Daphnia pulex: one gene and its partner. The main gene of each other region encodes a partner of the protein of the gene in region 2 in a complex. Links are inferred from orthologs where the notes say so. Each region holds a gene or a part of one and is shown on either strand. Other genes may lie near its edges.

What was found. Proteins that work in one complex are often made in the same cells at the same time.
Region 1: MMS19 nucleotide excision repair protein homolog (region 2) and cytosolic iron-sulfur assembly component 2A-like share a complex: the UniProt entries of both Homo sapiens proteins name them as parts of the CIA complex. The link is inferred for Daphnia pulex from reciprocal best matches to the Homo sapiens genes MMS19 and CIAO2A.

The regions. Positions count from the first base shown.
Region 1 is NC_060021.1:3,188,030-3,195,861, reverse strand, and holds cytosolic iron-sulfur assembly component 2A-like, read left to right. Parts: upstream 1-2,999; 5' UTR 3,000-3,188; coding exon 3,189-3,399; intron 3,400-3,460; coding exon 3,461-3,721; intron 3,722-3,795; coding exon 3,796-3,893; 3' UTR 3,894-4,210; downstream 4,211-7,832. Other genes in the region: maternal protein exuperantia-like, read right to left, coding at 4,284-4,577, 4,638-4,997, 5,062-5,145, 5,204-5,770, 5,986-6,018. UniProt on the Homo sapiens protein: Component of the cytosolic iron-sulfur protein assembly (CIA) complex, a multiprotein complex that mediates the incorporation of iron-sulfur cluster into extramitochondrial Fe/S proteins.
Region 2 is NC_060026.1:4,196,267-4,205,206, reverse strand, and holds MMS19 nucleotide excision repair protein homolog, read right to left. Parts: upstream 5,501-8,940; 5' UTR 5,458-5,500; coding exon 5,370-5,457; intron 5,188-5,369; coding exon 4,943-5,187; intron 4,887-4,942; coding exon 4,742-4,886; intron 4,672-4,741; coding exon 4,484-4,671; intron 4,416-4,483; coding exon 4,254-4,415; intron 4,188-4,253; coding exon 3,974-4,187; intron 3,914-3,973; coding exon 3,801-3,913; intron 3,723-3,800; coding exon 3,602-3,722; intron 3,539-3,601; coding exon 3,233-3,538; intron 3,177-3,232; coding exon 2,894-3,176; intron 2,832-2,893; coding exon 2,590-2,831; intron 2,523-2,589; coding exon 2,374-2,522; intron 2,302-2,373; coding exon 2,189-2,301; intron 2,131-2,188; coding exon 1,803-2,130; intron 1,737-1,802; coding exon 1,656-1,736; intron 1,593-1,655; coding exon 1,482-1,592; 3' UTR 1,421-1,481; downstream 1-1,420. Other genes in the region: heat shock 70 kDa protein 12A-like, read left to right, coding at 1-107, 175-242, 302-442, 498-806, 951-1,148; glycerol-3-phosphate acyltransferase 3-like, read left to right, coding at 6,135-6,287, 6,349-6,696, 6,759-6,893, 7,011-7,088, 7,289-7,444, 7,509-7,624, 7,702-7,843, 7,909-8,117 and 1 more. UniProt on the Homo sapiens protein: Key component of the cytosolic iron-sulfur protein assembly (CIA) complex, a multiprotein complex that mediates the incorporation of iron-sulfur cluster into apoproteins specifically involved in DNA metabolism and genomic integrity.

The sequences.
Region 1 (7,832 bases), on a different chromosome or scaffold from region 2:
TTGTGACATTTTTTAAAATTGTGTCACATGATTTGAAGTTTTCAAGTTTTAAAAAAAGCCACACTTTTAAAACTAACATTTTATAATAATTGCTAGACAAATTGCATGCTTGTCTCAAATGTTTAATTTATTATCGCCAGATCAAATAAGATAACTAAGAAATTACTAAACCTGTTTCGAAAATACTGCTGATAAACAACCGCGTAAATTCCCTTTGAAATACTTGGCGCTGAGCCAAGTCCTGTGCAGTTCGTTGTGGGAGCTCGTGGGATCGCCCAGTATGTCGGAGACGATAATGAATTTCTGGAACCTTTATCGTATTACGCTGGTATAGTCGCTGAAGAAGCCCGTGAAGAAGCCAAGTTTTTAACGGAAGTTTTTAAATCAAGAACGATACCTTGTGTTTTTCGACCAAGGCTACGTCAAGGTCAAGTATTGCATGTATACGCAGGTAAAATTTTCTCTAACAAAATTTCAAATTAAATATGCCATTATTGGTATTAATTTTTTGAAATATAGATCATGAGGTTACCCTCCGCAACCTGCGCCCTTTTACAAAAAAAAATGTGAAAGTCAAAGAACTCTATAATCCTTAGGCCCAATATCACATGGGAATTATTCGAAAAAAAATATATAGTCATGCGCTTAATGTAGGTCAGCGTCAGCTGTGTATAAAATCAGGGTCAACTTTTAAAAAACTCACCTTGGACAGAATCAGATGGACTATAGGTCCTACTTATGGCGGAGGTCCTTGAATTTTTCTTATCTTTTCAGATAAGATTTTACCGGATTTTACCCTATAAATATATGCGACTCATTTCTAGAAACTTCATTGCATTCGAGAGAAGCTATAGAGAATCTCCATCCAGTCCATCTATAGTTGTGAGCTATCGTCGTTGTCCTCACGTTCTCTTTTGAATTCGCTCCAAAATTCCAACAATTCAGTGCTGTTAAATTTGTCTCCAAAATAGTATTGAGCATGGCTTATTTGCAAAGTGTTCAAGATCTCTTTGTGCAAGCGATCGAAAACGACTCCACGACTCAACTAAGCGAAATATTCAAAAATTGCAGCAAGTTGGAAGTAATGACAAAGATATGGACACCGACACCCAGTAGCGAACAAGGTGAAACTCTTTTAATTTCGGCCATCAAGACAAAACGTTATAACGTGATTGACTTTTTGGTTAGAATATTGAGAGAATGTGTCAGTGACAAAGAGTGTAGATCTCTGTGCCTTTCTACCTTTTGTCAAATTCAAACCGACCAAATTTCCATCGTCGACGTAATGGAGTGTTTGATTGATCCTTGGCTGCTGGAACCACGTAGGGACGAACCCCTTTGGTTGGAATTTCTTTGGAATTGTATCAAGTCCAGCTCGATCCCTCGACAAGACAAAATCGATGCCTTGGAATTAATCGGTGCCACCTTTATCTTTATCCAAGTGAAAAGTCAATCCAAGGTAATGTGGGCACCCCATCACGGACTGCAGTGCTGGAAGGATGCCATGGCACTGCGTTACTCCACAGGCGAACGGGCCATCCCCAAAACACCTAACGTTTTCACCGATGAGGCTGCTAAGGCATTTGCCGATAATTCCGAAGTGCTAACCTTAGAAGAACTGGAACTAATGGAGCAAGAATCGTCCATTTACGGCTGTCCGCCAGCTTGGGGACTCGCCAGTTCTCATTGGCAATGTTATCTTCGAGTTCAGGCTCTTTTAGTGAACCAAAGAGTCGTCAGCCAAGTGAATAATGGGCCCTATTACTTCCATCTAATTAATTTGATTCGGTATGGCTGGGACTGCAACTCGTACCGAAAAGAACCCAGTCGTGCGTTCAACATTTGCTTGCTCATTATCGACCAGGCGAAATCGTTCAGCTCGACGGCATCTTCACCCAAATGTATTCACATTTTCGTCGAAACACTCGATCTGATGTCAAAGTGTTTCGAACGGATGCGAGAAGAGACCGCGGAGAGCCCAGAACGACGGGAATTGACTCCCGGTAATCTTCTGAAAGCTATTGGATGCTGCACCGTCATAGCCAATCTACTACCAGTTCCACTAATGAATGATAAGGATCACAATAGACTTCACAGAGTGAACATATGCGCCTACGATTTTGTTTCGCTGCTGTTCAAGAGTTTCCCCCGGTTAAACCAGGAAAAACACAAGCAACTTGAGGAATGCCTTTCTCAATTTATTCCCCTAGACGTTCACCGTGGATCGCACAGTCTTTTACATGCTGGAATTAATCGGTCCGTGTGGTTATACGAAAGCAATACCCAACGTTTGATTAAACTGTTCTTGAAAATGGGGGTCGATCCGAATGCCACGGATAGAAAAGGGAAAACTCCGCTTCATATTTTAGCCGAGAAATGGAACTGGACTCGATTCTCGACTTACTTGGACTCGGCCGACTTTCCTTCCGAGTCTCTGTCAAATGTTTTTCAATCACTAGTGGAAGCAGGTGGTCATCTCGACCAAGCCACACCAGAAGGCCATACAGTGATCGATTTTTTGGAAATTCAGCGAAAGAAACATTCCCTTCATGACTATTATTTTAATTCTTATCTGAACTCTCTGATCAATACCGTCTTGCCCCTGTCTTGTTACTGCGCTCAGTCCCTTCGTCAACACAAAATTCCACTTGGAAATCAACTTCCGCCTAGAGTGCATTCATTCATCCTTCGGCACAGCGCGCTTAAGCGCTGACTTCTGAATTTTCGCAATTTCTTTATTATTCAGTTCATGCCAATCTTTTTGTGTACCAGATGATTATTATATTTTTGTAAAATATAAATTCGTTTAGTGCACACATGAAAAGTACAGATTTCTACTTTGTTTCATTTCAAGTAACAAATGCGAACTCAAAGAGTCCAGTTAAAAAATCCGGAAATCTTGAATGATCTGCACTCGCACCAGTCAAAATCCCGCCAAAAGGTTTACCTATATTGTTGTACTTCAGTTCACTAGATGGCTCTTTTCATGTAAACAAAGTGACGTCTGATTAAAAAAAAGTGCAGTAGTTAACTCGTTCATCTGCTTCTTTCACTATTTTGGTTTGTCTTTTTCACTCTTGTACTTAATTGGAATTGTAGAAAGATAATTCAAACCACCATTTGCATAGCGTAAACTTGCATGTCCTATAAAGATTTAATTGGTTGCTGTACTTAATCAAAGTGTCGAAATGTTCCTCACGTCTTTTCTGAAAAAGATAAGTAGCAGTGAGAGCAAACCGCCTCCCGAAACAGTTAATAATGTGATATTAGAGAAGGCTGTAACCGTAAGTTCACCAGTGAACTTGCCAAGTTGGAAGGACAGATCAATTTGGACATCATCGTGCAGACAGGAACCAAATGTTCAGAATCAATGTCAAGAAATCAAAGAAATCATCACTGGTCTGTTTCGTCTTTATCATATTTCACCACAGGGTAAAACATTTATTGATTTTTATTTTAGACTTGCTGAGGACAATTAGAGACCCTGAAAAGCCCAACACGTTAGAAGACCTGTTGGTTATTACAGATGAATCTGTTCAAGTACAACCATTCGAGGAAAATGGTTACTTGGTTAGAATAGATTTCAATCCTACAGTTCCTCATTGTTCACTTGCAAGCCTTATTGGCCTCTGCCTGAGAGGCAAGATTCAGAAAAATGTGGTGGAAAGGATTAAATTGGACATAGTTATTGCAGAGGGGAAACACAGCACAGAAGAAGAGAGTAAGTCCTAATTCCATATTTAAATGTTCAAAAAAGCTTTCATTAAAATATTCTTTTACTTTATTCCCATCCAGTCAATAAACAAATCAACGACAAGGAAAGAGTCGCCGCCGCCTTAGAGAATCCCAACTTAAAAGAAATGGTCGATAGTTGCATAAGAGATGAAGAATAATAAGAATTTTGTTAAGAAAAAAAAATAAAAGACGATAAATTTCCTCAGAGTATTTTGTATTCCATTCCATGAGATCAACTCACAAGTATGAAAGGCACTGCAAAGGCACTGCAGAGACAATTTCATCGCACATATACACCCTGGATTGATTTTAGTAGAAGACTAGAAACAATTACCAAAAAGCTCCCTGGTATATATATAAATTTTGCAAGTGTTATCTCTGGTAAGAAGAAAAGCATAACCAAAAGCGACAAGCAAGTTTGTTTCGTGAAAGACTTGTAAACTTAAAAAAAGATCAAAATTTCTCAAAAACGAGACAAGTTAAGTGAAAAACAAAAGGGAAGTGGGGTTGGGAGGCAGTAAGTAATTTCAGGCGAGTCGAGGGACTTTTTAAACTTCGGACAGGACCGCAGGAGTGCTGGGAATAACATCCATAATCACTTTGACAGGGTCGTTGTTGTTTTCCTCGGGCTCGATCTTGGACGCAGGCTGCTGCTTCTCCAAGTCCGTGGCGGTGCATAGGGAACGAGTGCGGGGTGCTCGACGGCCGCTACCGCGTCGGACGGGCTTGTCTGGCTGCGCAAGGTGTTGATTCAGCAGCTTGATGACTTCCTCCACGTCAGCTTCATTCTTGCCTTTGATGTTCTCTTTGATGACCTCGACCACACCGTCATCTTTCTTGTCCTGCAAAAGAAATTTCAATTAGATTCTTCCGGTTAAGAATTGAAAAGAAGACAAACTCACCTTGAATGTTTCCGTAAGGCCTACATAGGTGATGCCCGACTCGACGAGCATATGGCGGAGGAATCCAGCTCGCCGACGAGGCTTGATACCTTGGCGAAACATGTCAGCGAATACCGGTCTCCATTGAGCCTCCTTGGTCAATTCTTCTTTGATTTTCTTGACTTGTTCGAGCAAATGATCGCAACTGATGAGGTTCTCCTTAAGTACCCCAGTGTTGATGCGGCCGCCATGCACCTTGCGAAGAATCTTGTGAAGTGCTTGAGCACGTTGAACAGCGCTCTCCAAAGGTGTGTCGACTCCAAGGTGGTGATCAGCCAAAGCTTTAAGGACCATGCGATGTTCGTCCTTCAAATCATGCACCTGTTTTCGATTGCAAGATAAGAATATCTAACCGATTCACGTGTTACGATATTTCAGTTATTACCTGTTGACGGAGCAGATCCCAGCCATTGACACATCCAAGCAAAATCTTGTTGACATCATCAAGAAGACGGTAACGTTCCAAAGCCTAAAACAGAGTGAAAGTTAGAAACGAGTCTGATAATATAAACTAAATGGCGACATACCTGGAATAGCTGAAGGATCTTGGAGTGACGTGGTTCAAAGAAGACTAGGACAATTTTCTTGTCGGGGAAATTATCTTTTTGGAGCTTGATGAGCCACGAGGCGAAATCATTGCAGGCGGCCACCTCGCTCTTGGACTTGAGCATTCTGTTGTTGCGGATCTCCTTGAGCATGCGGTAACGACCCGTGTCAACGATGCGAAGATTGTAGTTGCGAATTACGTTCAGCGGTAGCTTGCCATACGGCATGACGTACTCGTTGAAATCATGCCCTTCTGCTTTCTCTCCCTGCGCCATGTAGAATGATCCCAGGTTGACCATCTCGTCGATGAGGCGTCGACCAGTAACGGTGGCTTCCCACATAACCACAGCAATGCTGTCATCGTGTTCAGGCATTGGCTGGACTGGCTGAGTGGTGATCACAGCGGGGAGAGCATCACATTCCACCTTGGCCTCTGGAGTTGGTGGCTGAATCACCACCTCTATGATGGTCTCCTCGGTGGAAGATGAGGTCTGCTGTTCTTCACTGTTGTTGGTCATTTCTGTAATTTTATTCTGCAACACAAAACACTATCGATCAATCAAAAAGCATTCAAAAACAGTGTAGATGGTTAAAAACAAAATGTGAGCAAAGAGAATACGAAGGCAGTCTTCAAGAACAGTTCCCCCTTTTCTTTAACCAATGTGGTATTGAACAAAAAATCGTACTGGGCTACTGACTCAACAGATGGAAACAAATGCAAAGAGAGCAAAGAGAGAATCAATTGGCAAAACATGTGCTAGACCTTATTAAAGAAGGGGAAAATGTTCTTGAACATTGCCGAATAAATTGCTTAGATCTGAGGCGAGCTCTCAATGGCGACGAAGCACATGTGTACTGAGAGAGGAAAGAGGTTTGTGTGGAATCTTACCGAGCTCTTGTCTCGGACGCGGCCGGTGAATAAGTAACCGTTCTAGTCTTTCTCGAACCTCGAATTAAACGATTCCCAACCCTACCTCTTTTCTTTCATTCGCGCCTGTTGTATAATATGTCTACGGTGCCTAACAATGAGACGAATAAAAGGTATTGAACGAAGGCGAAATATTACCTGTGGCTGTGTCTTTCAGGATGAAATGATTGGAATTTTCACGGGAGGAATGGAGGTTCGTCTGCTCTTTCAGCCGATGGCGTAATCTGTCTGGGGCAGGGTGAGAAAAAAAAGAAAGAAAAAAGATCTAGAACAATGCAATTAATGAGAAAAACTCGTTTGATTAAATCAATCAAGGTTAATTGTCGAAATAAATATTCTCTAAATTTTTCGTCATTTTTGTAAATTTTGTTGATTAGCCTACATGGATTTTGTTTGAATATTTGTCAAATCAAGTCTTTCTCTGAATTCAAATTTTCAAACTATTAAAAATGTCGTAGTAAATATAATATATTTTTTTATTGACTCACACTGACTTTTTCAATCATCCTTTTTCGTACGATTGCACTTTAAATGCAATTAAAAATGGCAAGATTTCAACATGATTTCAACGTGGAAAGTTTTCGAGTTTCGACTGCTACGACATAATCACGTTAGAAGTGTTTTCACGTCATCATTAGCAGTATTTTAGCTATGATAATCAAGGTTGAACAACTGGATCATTATTTATTTCGATTTTAATTAGTTTAGTTAATAAGATGTTAACATTTTATTAATCGATTGACAGGTTTGTTTTCATTATGTAATTGACTTAGACGCCATCTAGCGGCGTGAATTACAACACCGTACATCTTTACAGGCTAATCTTGCGGTAAAATTAAATCTCGCAATCCAGCTCAATTATCAAAAGCAATTTTAACAACTTTCTAAAGTAGCTTTTCAATCATCGCCATTTTTATTCCTCTCTGAATTCGAAATAAATCTACGCCGAAATTCTTTACTAAATGAACGCATTAAATGAACCCCTGTGATTCATGACCAAATTGAACGAATCGATAGAACAACCCCCCCCTAAAAAAACTCTCCAAGATTAATAACCGATAAATTCCCAAGTTTAGACAACCAAAACCCCAACGATGACGCAACGCAAAATAAGTAAAAAAAAGAATCGAAAGTTGAAACTAGTTAAGTTGGAGGGCGATATAAAAAAGGGCGTGTGTCGGTCGGTCGGATTGGCAGGTATGAAAGAAAAAGGGATGGATGGAAAACCCATCAAAATCGAGCTAAAAGGGTTCCAAAAAAAATAAAAGTGAAGGTGTGTTGAATGTGTGTGCACACGTGTCCCATTCATGAACTCTTTTTACTAGCCTATATAGTCTGTCACCCCACCCACCCACCTCTCGGACAATCTTCTCCGACCTTTTTCTTTTTGTTATCTCTATCCCGATATCAAAATAAGTAAAGAGGGGAGCTAGAAAGTCTTTTTTTCTTTTTCGTTTAATCAAAAAGGCTTAAAATGATGCGCTGGCGACTTCATCTGCCAGAGTGGCCAGACAACAGCAATGTTGTGTTATAAATAGAGTTAACCATCGCCAGCAAAGTCAAACGATATTATTTGCGTAGACACACCTCACGGTTGTATATCTGCCCGGTGTGTTGTGTAGAAGCCCCCGCCGATGCAAATCGATAAAAGTGCATGGAATAAAAGGTGGAATATATACGAG
Region 2 (8,940 bases):
TGCGTTACCTTTCTCACTGATTGATTGTTTCCGCAAATATCGTGGGCGTGAAGTGGAATTCGCCATCCGCAAACACGGAGATCCGCACGTCCGCTGGTCCACCCAAGGTGACTAAAACACTCAAATCTGTTGCTATAGAATGCATAGTGAATTTCTTCCTTTTCCCACGTTCAGGAATGCTTCGTCTCGATCAGGAAGCTATGAAGTCTCTTTTCCAACCCACTCTACGTGCTATCATCGAGGTATATCGATCGTTTCCATTATAAATGATGCCACATCTAATTTTGATTTGACGATTTAGCACATTGAGGATGTTTTAATCCATCCGGACCTGATTGGAATTGATTACCTCTTCTTGGTTGGAGGTTTTGCCGAATCACCTCTTCTGCAACAAGCTGTCCGGACACATTTCGGAGAACACGTCACCGTTATTATCCCCCAGGTTCGAAATATTTTTCAAGTTGAATAGTCGCAAATTTTAAAATTTATTTCCCCAGGATGTGAGTCTTGCCATCCTGAAAGGAGCCGTCCAATACGGAGTGAACCCACACGCCATCACAGTACGCCGTTCGCGCTTGACCTATGGTGTTGCCGTCCTCAACCGTTTCATCCAGGGCCGTCACCCGATTGATAAACGCGTCATCAAAGATGGCATCGCCTACTGCAAGGACATATTCGATAAATTCGTCATGGCCGATCAAAGTGTTAGCATGGGCGAGCGTGTCATACGCAGTTACAGCCCGGCTAGACGCCACCAGCGGCGCATCGTTCTCAACGTCTTCAGCGCCGATAATGACGACGTCCAGGTAATAAATCCTTTTTAAAATTTCCATTTTTCCCAGTTCAGTTTGAAACAACAAAAATCCCTCCTCGATAAAAAACAAAATTCAAACGAAAGTCGGAACCATTCGGATGGTTCTTGGTTACTAACCAAGTAACGACTTATGCAGTTTGTTACGGATCCTGGTGTCCGTTTGTTTGCTACCCTCTCACTCGACCTGGGCTTCACCTACGCGGTCAAAACACGTCGTGAAATCCGCGTCACGATGGAATTCGGCGACACGGAGATACGCGCCTCAGCCGTCGACGTTTTTAGTGGCAACACCATCAAGGCTTCCTTCGACTTTCTCGACGACAAGCCGCAATAGACACGGAGCACTACTGACAGCCACTGCAAACAAGACCTCACAACAACAAACTGTAGCAGTATTCTAATCCTGTTTGATCCTTTCCTAGCCAAAATGTTATAACTTTCCACGGCACTTTTTGACATCTACAACAGCTTCTTTTGCTCGGAATTTTTTTTAAGAGCACGATCCTCAAACATAATTGGAGTTTCTCTTTGATTCGACACTTTTTACAAACCATCATCACGCGGAATTGTTAAGAAGAGAATACATATTATTCTAATGCTTGACAATTCTGTTAGAAAAACAGTGTAATTGAAGCTCTTGAATGAATTATGGCACACTAATGAGATGTTAGTTACAGCCGGGCTGGCCCAACATAATCCACTTTTGTCTTGCCAATGCTGCCTCACGCCGGACCAATCGCTTTTTGTCGGACAGACAAGGGACGAGACGGAGGATGACCTATTAAAATTTATTATACAATACGAAGTTGAAGTTCAAAATTATGGAAAAGCCAAAATTTACCTCTGACCGAAGTGGGAGTAAAACAATCGATTGGGCCTTCCTGAGCTCAGAGAGACATTGAAGGGCAAGTCGACGGACGTCCTGGAGATTATGATAAAAATGTAAGTATAAAATTTACAAGCGTGAAGGAACAAAGGTAGATCTTACCATGTTAATGCCGTCTTTGGCAAGGGTGAGTAATCTGGGCACGAGACTGCTGATGTACTCTTCGATGGCACTGACATTGTCGGACATGAGACCCATGAACGCGTTGATGGTAGAAATAATTAGCTGAGCTGGTTGGTCTGTGCTCAGACACTGGATCAGCAGTGGGATGAGTGTGGTTATGTGGGCAATTAAAACACCCTCCGGAATGAAGGCTAGTTGATTGGCGATGGCGGCGAAGCAAGCTGCTTTGTTGCACGACTCGGACTCTCGATACAGTTTCAACAAGCGAGGTACAACTTCTTGAAAAAACCTCTGTCGGTACATTAACCTAAGAATTTAATCAATAAGGAAATGTTCGTACAACTAAATGGAAAACGTTAAAAAACCTGATGTTGGCATGACAATTGAAATTCAGGCATTCCTCGGTTTCACACAAAATCGTTTTAAATCCTTCTGCCACTAGGTACCCGTGCGTGGGATCGTTCAACGAATCAACTAACTGCAAAGAAAAAGGTAATTCGTTAATACAGGTCATGGCGCATGCTGTTACGTCTGTAATCCAATCGCATACTTCTTGGATATACTGATTAAGCTTGGAATAAGATCTCATCAGCAGAGCTTTAGTTATCCAAACAAACAGGCAAACAGAATTGCATCGGTCTGTAGATGGATCCTGCCATTTGCGCCGCAACGAATCGAGTATAGCTTCCAGTTCATGCCCTTAAACATAGCAGGTAATGGTTAACGTTGATGGTTTTGACTTTATAATAGATCCTATAAATTTTACCTTCAGGAAGTTTGTTGACCAGAGCGGCTATTAGCCGACAGGCAGACAGTCTGACGTCGGCTTTTGGATGACAAACAGTAATGGGTTCTAGTGTGTTAACTAGTCGTTCAAGACTGTGTCCGCTAGGTGTGGCATCCAATGATCCCAATGTCGCTTCCATTATGGACAACGTCCACGGAGAACGAGCAAGATGTTGACCTACGTATTGTTCGGTTTGTTCGTTGATGAATTCCGTGGCTTTCCTGTACAATGCCGAGAAGATTACAAAAACATTTCTTCCAACATTTTGATCTAATAGAATTACGCGGAAGATAAACTGGAAGCCAGATTTCTCAATAAAACACAAGTGGCTTGGAGTGACGCCGGAGGATCTCCATCTTCCAATGTTTTCAATCCCCAGCGGTGCAATTGCTGGAATATTTCTAGTTCGTCCCTTTGTGCGAAATGAGTCAAAACTTTGAGTACTTCAAGTCGTAATTCCAGTTCGGGTTGTTCGAGCACGGTCATTAGTCGGGATACCACCTGCGCACGAATCTGGGACAACGTCGGTAGAGTTGATAACACAAGAAAAACCGCATTGGCTTTGCCTAAACAACCAACAGATAACCTCTTTCCGTATTTTAATTGGTAAAATTCAAATTACCTGAGACGGCTATATCTAACAGCTTAACCAAGACTTGCTCAAGGAACAAGTTTTCATTCTTCTCTGCGCTTTTGCAAAAGAAATGACCAATCTCTGCAATAACGCTATCGGTGGCTGTTGATTTCTGGAGTAAATCTAAAAGTGTTCCATTGACCTTTTCCAAGTCTTGGTGGTTCAAACAGGTGCCAATTAAATGGCTCAATCCTTGCAGACTTAGATTGCGAAGAACTGCGTCATCCTCTTGTAAGACCTCAAGGTACAGCTCTAACAATTTTGGTATCAGAGAAGCTACACCACTTTGAGCAACTGTAAAATATAACCAAAGATATGAAAATGTTTCTAATTTTAATAATTTTTAAAATGTGGTACCGTTTGCTTCAGTGAAACCATAGAGACCAGCATGTACCATTTTGTTCAAACTATTAAGGATGAACTGACGTGGATTTGACTGTGGCCTGATCCTGTACTGGTCCATCAAAAGGGGAATGACCTATTTAGAGAAATGGGTTTCTGTTAAGTAGATTTTAAAAAAAATGTTTGTAGTTCTATAAGAGAATAAGAATAATACCTGGCTAACAATTAATGCACACGCGGGCGCACTTCCCGAGCATATCGCTAGCAAAATGTAGCTGCTCGGAGTCATTAATCGCCGTTCCGGTTCACACAAGTGCCCCTGACATTCTATTAATATACAATCTACAGTTAAATATACTCTTAAACGAATATTTGCTACACATTTACCGGTCAGCACATTTTTTAGTAATTTGGTAAAAGCTGGACTGTTAAATTCTCCGTCTGTTGTAAAAGCTCGGGATAAAGCGGCAAGAGCATCAAGTGAGGCATGTTCAAGATCGTCGGTATTGACATTGATCAAGACTTCTCTACGTATACTCGTCCAGAAAGAGTCCACCCATTTTTCAAGTTGGCCTGGTTGATACGTCTGACAGCAGAGTTCCTGCAAACAGTCGAAAATTACAATAGAATTGAAGCATAAAGACTAAATATAGAAGGGGAAAATTACCAAGGTTTTTAAGGCTTCTACTTTAGCTGAAACCAAGTCAGATTCCAATTTCTCTTGCAGTAACGGCAAACAATACTCTGCGAAATGAGGGCTACCGGCAAGGCACTGTCGTAATCCATCACAGAGCTGTTCTTTAGTTACTGCATAAGGATCATTAGCTGGCTATTCAAAATAAGAGTATTAGGATTTACTGACATGTAGCAATAAACTGAAAATTTCAAGAGACTTACAGGGGTGAAATCGATAGGGAAGTAGCAACTAAAAACTTCGAAAAACTCTTCTGTAAACGGCTCGAATCTGAAGTAACGAGCAACTACAGGGAAAACACTGAAGAGAATCAACAAGTTACGTGGGTCTCTTTCTTGATCAGCTAACTGGATGAGACCAAAAACAAAATCTTGGCCTAGGTCTTGTAATTCTGTAAGTTTAAAAATAAAATTTAGAAAATACTAACACAGCATATATATTTAGAAATTTATAATTTAGACCTTTTAGATGAAAAGCCAAGAGGTTTTTCACTGTTTTGTAAATTGCTCTTCTGTCATGCTGCAATTGTGATTGACAATGAACATCTTGAAAAATGCTCTGGGATATCAATCTGGCCAATCCAGGGGAAAGCTTAGGTGCTGTGCTCTATGACAAGGTATTAAATTTAACACTTTTGTATTGAATAGTATTTTTTTTCATACCAAAGCATGGAGGCCTTGCAGTGCGGCAGGTAGTATTGAATGATGATCTTTTAGCTTGCTACAGAAGAACTCTGTTACAAGTTCTACTTCCTTTTCATTTAGTCCCTTCAATTCAGGCCCCAACTGTTCCAAGATTGTGCCAATAGTTGACACTGCTTTGCATCGGTGAGTATTTTGTTGATTCAGTAAATCTGGTTGCAAATCTTCAACTAGCTTGAGAATTGTTAATTCTTTTGATGCAATTGCTGAAAAATTAAACAAAGTCATTGATGTTAACTTGTTAAAATTATTAAACATTTTCTACACATATGTTTTAAATCTGGCGCGCTCATGATGGACACGTGTTTTTCCTTCTTTTTTTCTAATTTCGAACACTTGAGCGGAGTACGAAAAAATGTTTCTTTCAGTTATAATTATAAAAACTTACATTGACTAATACAGCGAATAGATTCATTCGCGGATTCTTCTGAATTAAACGAATCTCTGAGTTTGTGAATCGCAGTCGAGATCGCCATGTTTACTGTTTACCTCTGCCCTGATTATGTAAACGTCATCTGCTTTTAAATGACACATGGTTGCCTACCTCTCACATTCTTCTTTTCATGAACTGATTATTCATCGAATATATAATTTTGTCACAGATTATGTAATTGTAAACAAGCAACAGACTTTTGTAACAAATTTCGTAATTAAATATTGAATAACCGCATTCCAACATGTTTTGAAATAGCTTCCGTGAACGGAGGAAAATATCACCCAGGTTTTGTATTTTCTAGATTTTTCATTACGCATTGGAAAAAAAACAGATGGGTGGAGACTTCCAAAGTAAACTTTTATGTGATTCCGATAAATCGTGCTGGTAAGCATGGGAGGACTAGAAAAAGATAATTAATCGCGTCAAGGTCGCACGCGCAACGCATAGAACCAATAGACAGACGTATTTTTGAAGTCAGTTGTAGCCTGAACGTCCCATTATAAACGAGAGTCCCAAAACGTCTGTCGTAGCAGTCTTTTAGTAGACTACGTTACGCGAATTCCACTCACGCACAACAACTCAAATCGGCATTTCTCTTGTCAACCTTGAAATCTCTCTCTTCCACCACTTCCTTTAACGTGGTCCCGACATCTGTTGCCTTGGTGTTCGACAACGACAGCAACTTCTTGAACTGGAGCTCCCACCAACAATATTACAATGGGGCTCGAAAATTTAATTCTTTTGCTAGTACTTAGTATAATTTTTATGCCTGTTATCCTGGTAATTGGTTGCTTGGTGCTAGTGATGACATGCAACTGGTCAAGGAATTTCCGATCAGGATATGTTAAACTACTATTGAAGGTCTTTCAGGTAATATGTCTTATTCTTAGTATTTGAGTTTTCGTAATGCTCATAATCTTTTTTATACTAGTATGGAACTGGTAGGATAGAAATTGCTGAGCAGCAAAAGAAACTAGAGACCAATAAAGGAAAGAATGGCTATGCAAATGGAAATGTTGTGGAAGCAGTGGAACAAGCTGAGGACAAATTATCAACTGGACATGCCATTATAAAATCTTCAGCAATGTCCAAGGAAGATCTAGTACTTTTACCTAATGGAAACTCATCTCCAAAGACACCCTCCATCCCCAAAAACAGATCATTTAACAGTTTGAATAATGATTTTATTCTATCTGACTGCCTTGACTTTGTTCATGCGGGGGTGGAAGCAATCATTGAGGACGAAGTTACAGGAAGATTTGTAGCTGAAGAACTAAAGGTACTCAAATCTCACCTACCAATTTGGTTCACAGTATCTAACATTAAATTTGTACTTCCCAGTCTTGGAATCTTCTTACTCGCACAAACCGCCACTATGAGTTCATCAGTGTTCGCCTTACTATTACTTGGATTTTGGGTTTCTTTGTACGCTACTTCATTCTTCTACCAAGCAGAGTTACAATTTGCTTTTTAGCTGTAAGTATACTTCAAAATGTGTTCTTTGTCAATTATTTTGTTAGTATTATTTTAACTATATTATTGCAATTGTAATGAAATTATTCATTTGTCTTTGATTGATGTGATTTTCTATAGGTTATTTGGTTAACTTTGTGCACAGGACTGGTTGGCTTCCTAAATGAAGGTCCCATGAAAAGAGCCATTTATGAGAAGGTATAAACTCCAAATTCTCTTTTTACCCCGTTCAGTTATCGAATTTGACCTCGTGTAGATAACTGTAGAACTCCCGATGGTTCGAATAGGACAAAGTTCGAATCAACATTTGCTCCGTTTATTCATATCTTTTCTTTAAGAGTTTGCATTACAATACTTTCTTGTTTTAATATCTTATTGGTTTTGTTTTGGTTTTGAAGGTTTCAACATGGTGCTTCAATTTTCTATCATGCGCGTTATCAGCCGTCGTCACTTTTCACAATAGAGAGAATATACCTAAGTGTGGTATTTGTGTGGCGAACCACACGACTCCGGTGGACGTAATGGTTCTCCACTGCGACAATGCGTATGCGCTGGTATGTTGGATTTAAAATTTTTAAAAATCTATATATTTATTTACTTTTCATTATTTTTTTAAAGATTGGCCAGCGTCACGGTGGATTTTTGGGCATTATTCAGCGAGCTTTGGCTCGCGCTTCTGCTCACATTTGGTTTGAACGCTCCGAAGTCAAAGATCGTGAAACTGTTGCTAAAAGGTAATATCGATTGCCGCATACCGGATTTATAGATCGAGTTCCTATTCGAAAATCCTGACTTTTGATTATATTTTCAGACTAAAAGAGCACGTTGACGATCCTGATAAGTTGCCTATTCTTATTTTTCCCGAGGGAACCTGCATCAACAACACTTCTGTGATGCAGTTCAAAAAGGGCAGTTTTGAAGTTGGCAGTATTGTTTATCCTGTCGCAATTAAAGTAATTTGCTTCGTTACGAGATTGCCATTGAGATTGCCATTATAATAATTTTATTTGTGATTTAGTACGACGCAAGGTTTACCGACGCATTTTGGAATTCTAGTCGCCACTCGATGATTCAATATCTCTACATGATGATGTCCTCTTGGGCTTTGGTCTGCGACGTTTGGTACCTACCACCCATGCACCGTCGACCAGAAGAAAGTGCAATTGATTTCGCCAATCGAGTCAAAGCAGTGATTGCAAAACAGGGCGGCCTAGTAGATCTAGCTTGGTAAGTTGGTCTTCGTAGACTTCACCTCGAAAAAATCGCCGATTTTAACGCTTTTTGAATTCCAATTTGATAGGGATGGAGCACTAAAACGTATGAACGCCAAGAAAGAATGGAAACAGAAACAACAGGAAGAATTCAGCAAACGATTGAAAGTTGAGTGATTCTCGTCTGTCGGCCTGGTGAACGTTGAGAGGAAAGAAATTTGTTTTACGTTTTGTTTATTTTTTTTTAATAACAATTTTGTGTTGCGATGGAAATTTGATGCATCAAGTACCGAATGTTAGTGGTGTAGCGCCATTGGTTTTTTTTTTAGGTCGTAGCCGGGCCACTCTTCCAAAAAAAAAGTGATGCGTTAAAATGGAGATAACGCATTCGTTGTATTTGTGTTTGTCCATCTTTCTCTCATTGTTTTTTTTTTCTCTCTTTCAACGTTCTCGCAAAAGAAAATAAGCAAATAATTTCTGGTTGATAACGACCGAGCATACATATAGGCCTATCGATATTTCTCAGACGAGATTTGCTCTGCTCATTTCTGAATCGAATCATTGTTGTGAATGCGTGTTTCCTAGAAGTAATGGTCCCTATATCTTTAAAAATTCCCTCTTGGTTGATGAATGGTGGCCCAGGTGATCTAAGTCATTGATGTGGTTAAAAGCTTGTGGGGAGGGTTGACATCATTTTTCCATATGTGTTTTCTGTTCGATTTACTTGATGTTCTGTTGTTCTTTGGTTTTTTCGTCGACTTCGATGTTCTCCTGATGAACACTGGGTATATATACACACATATATATGCGACATATGCTTTTTTTTTCTAAGCTAAGAA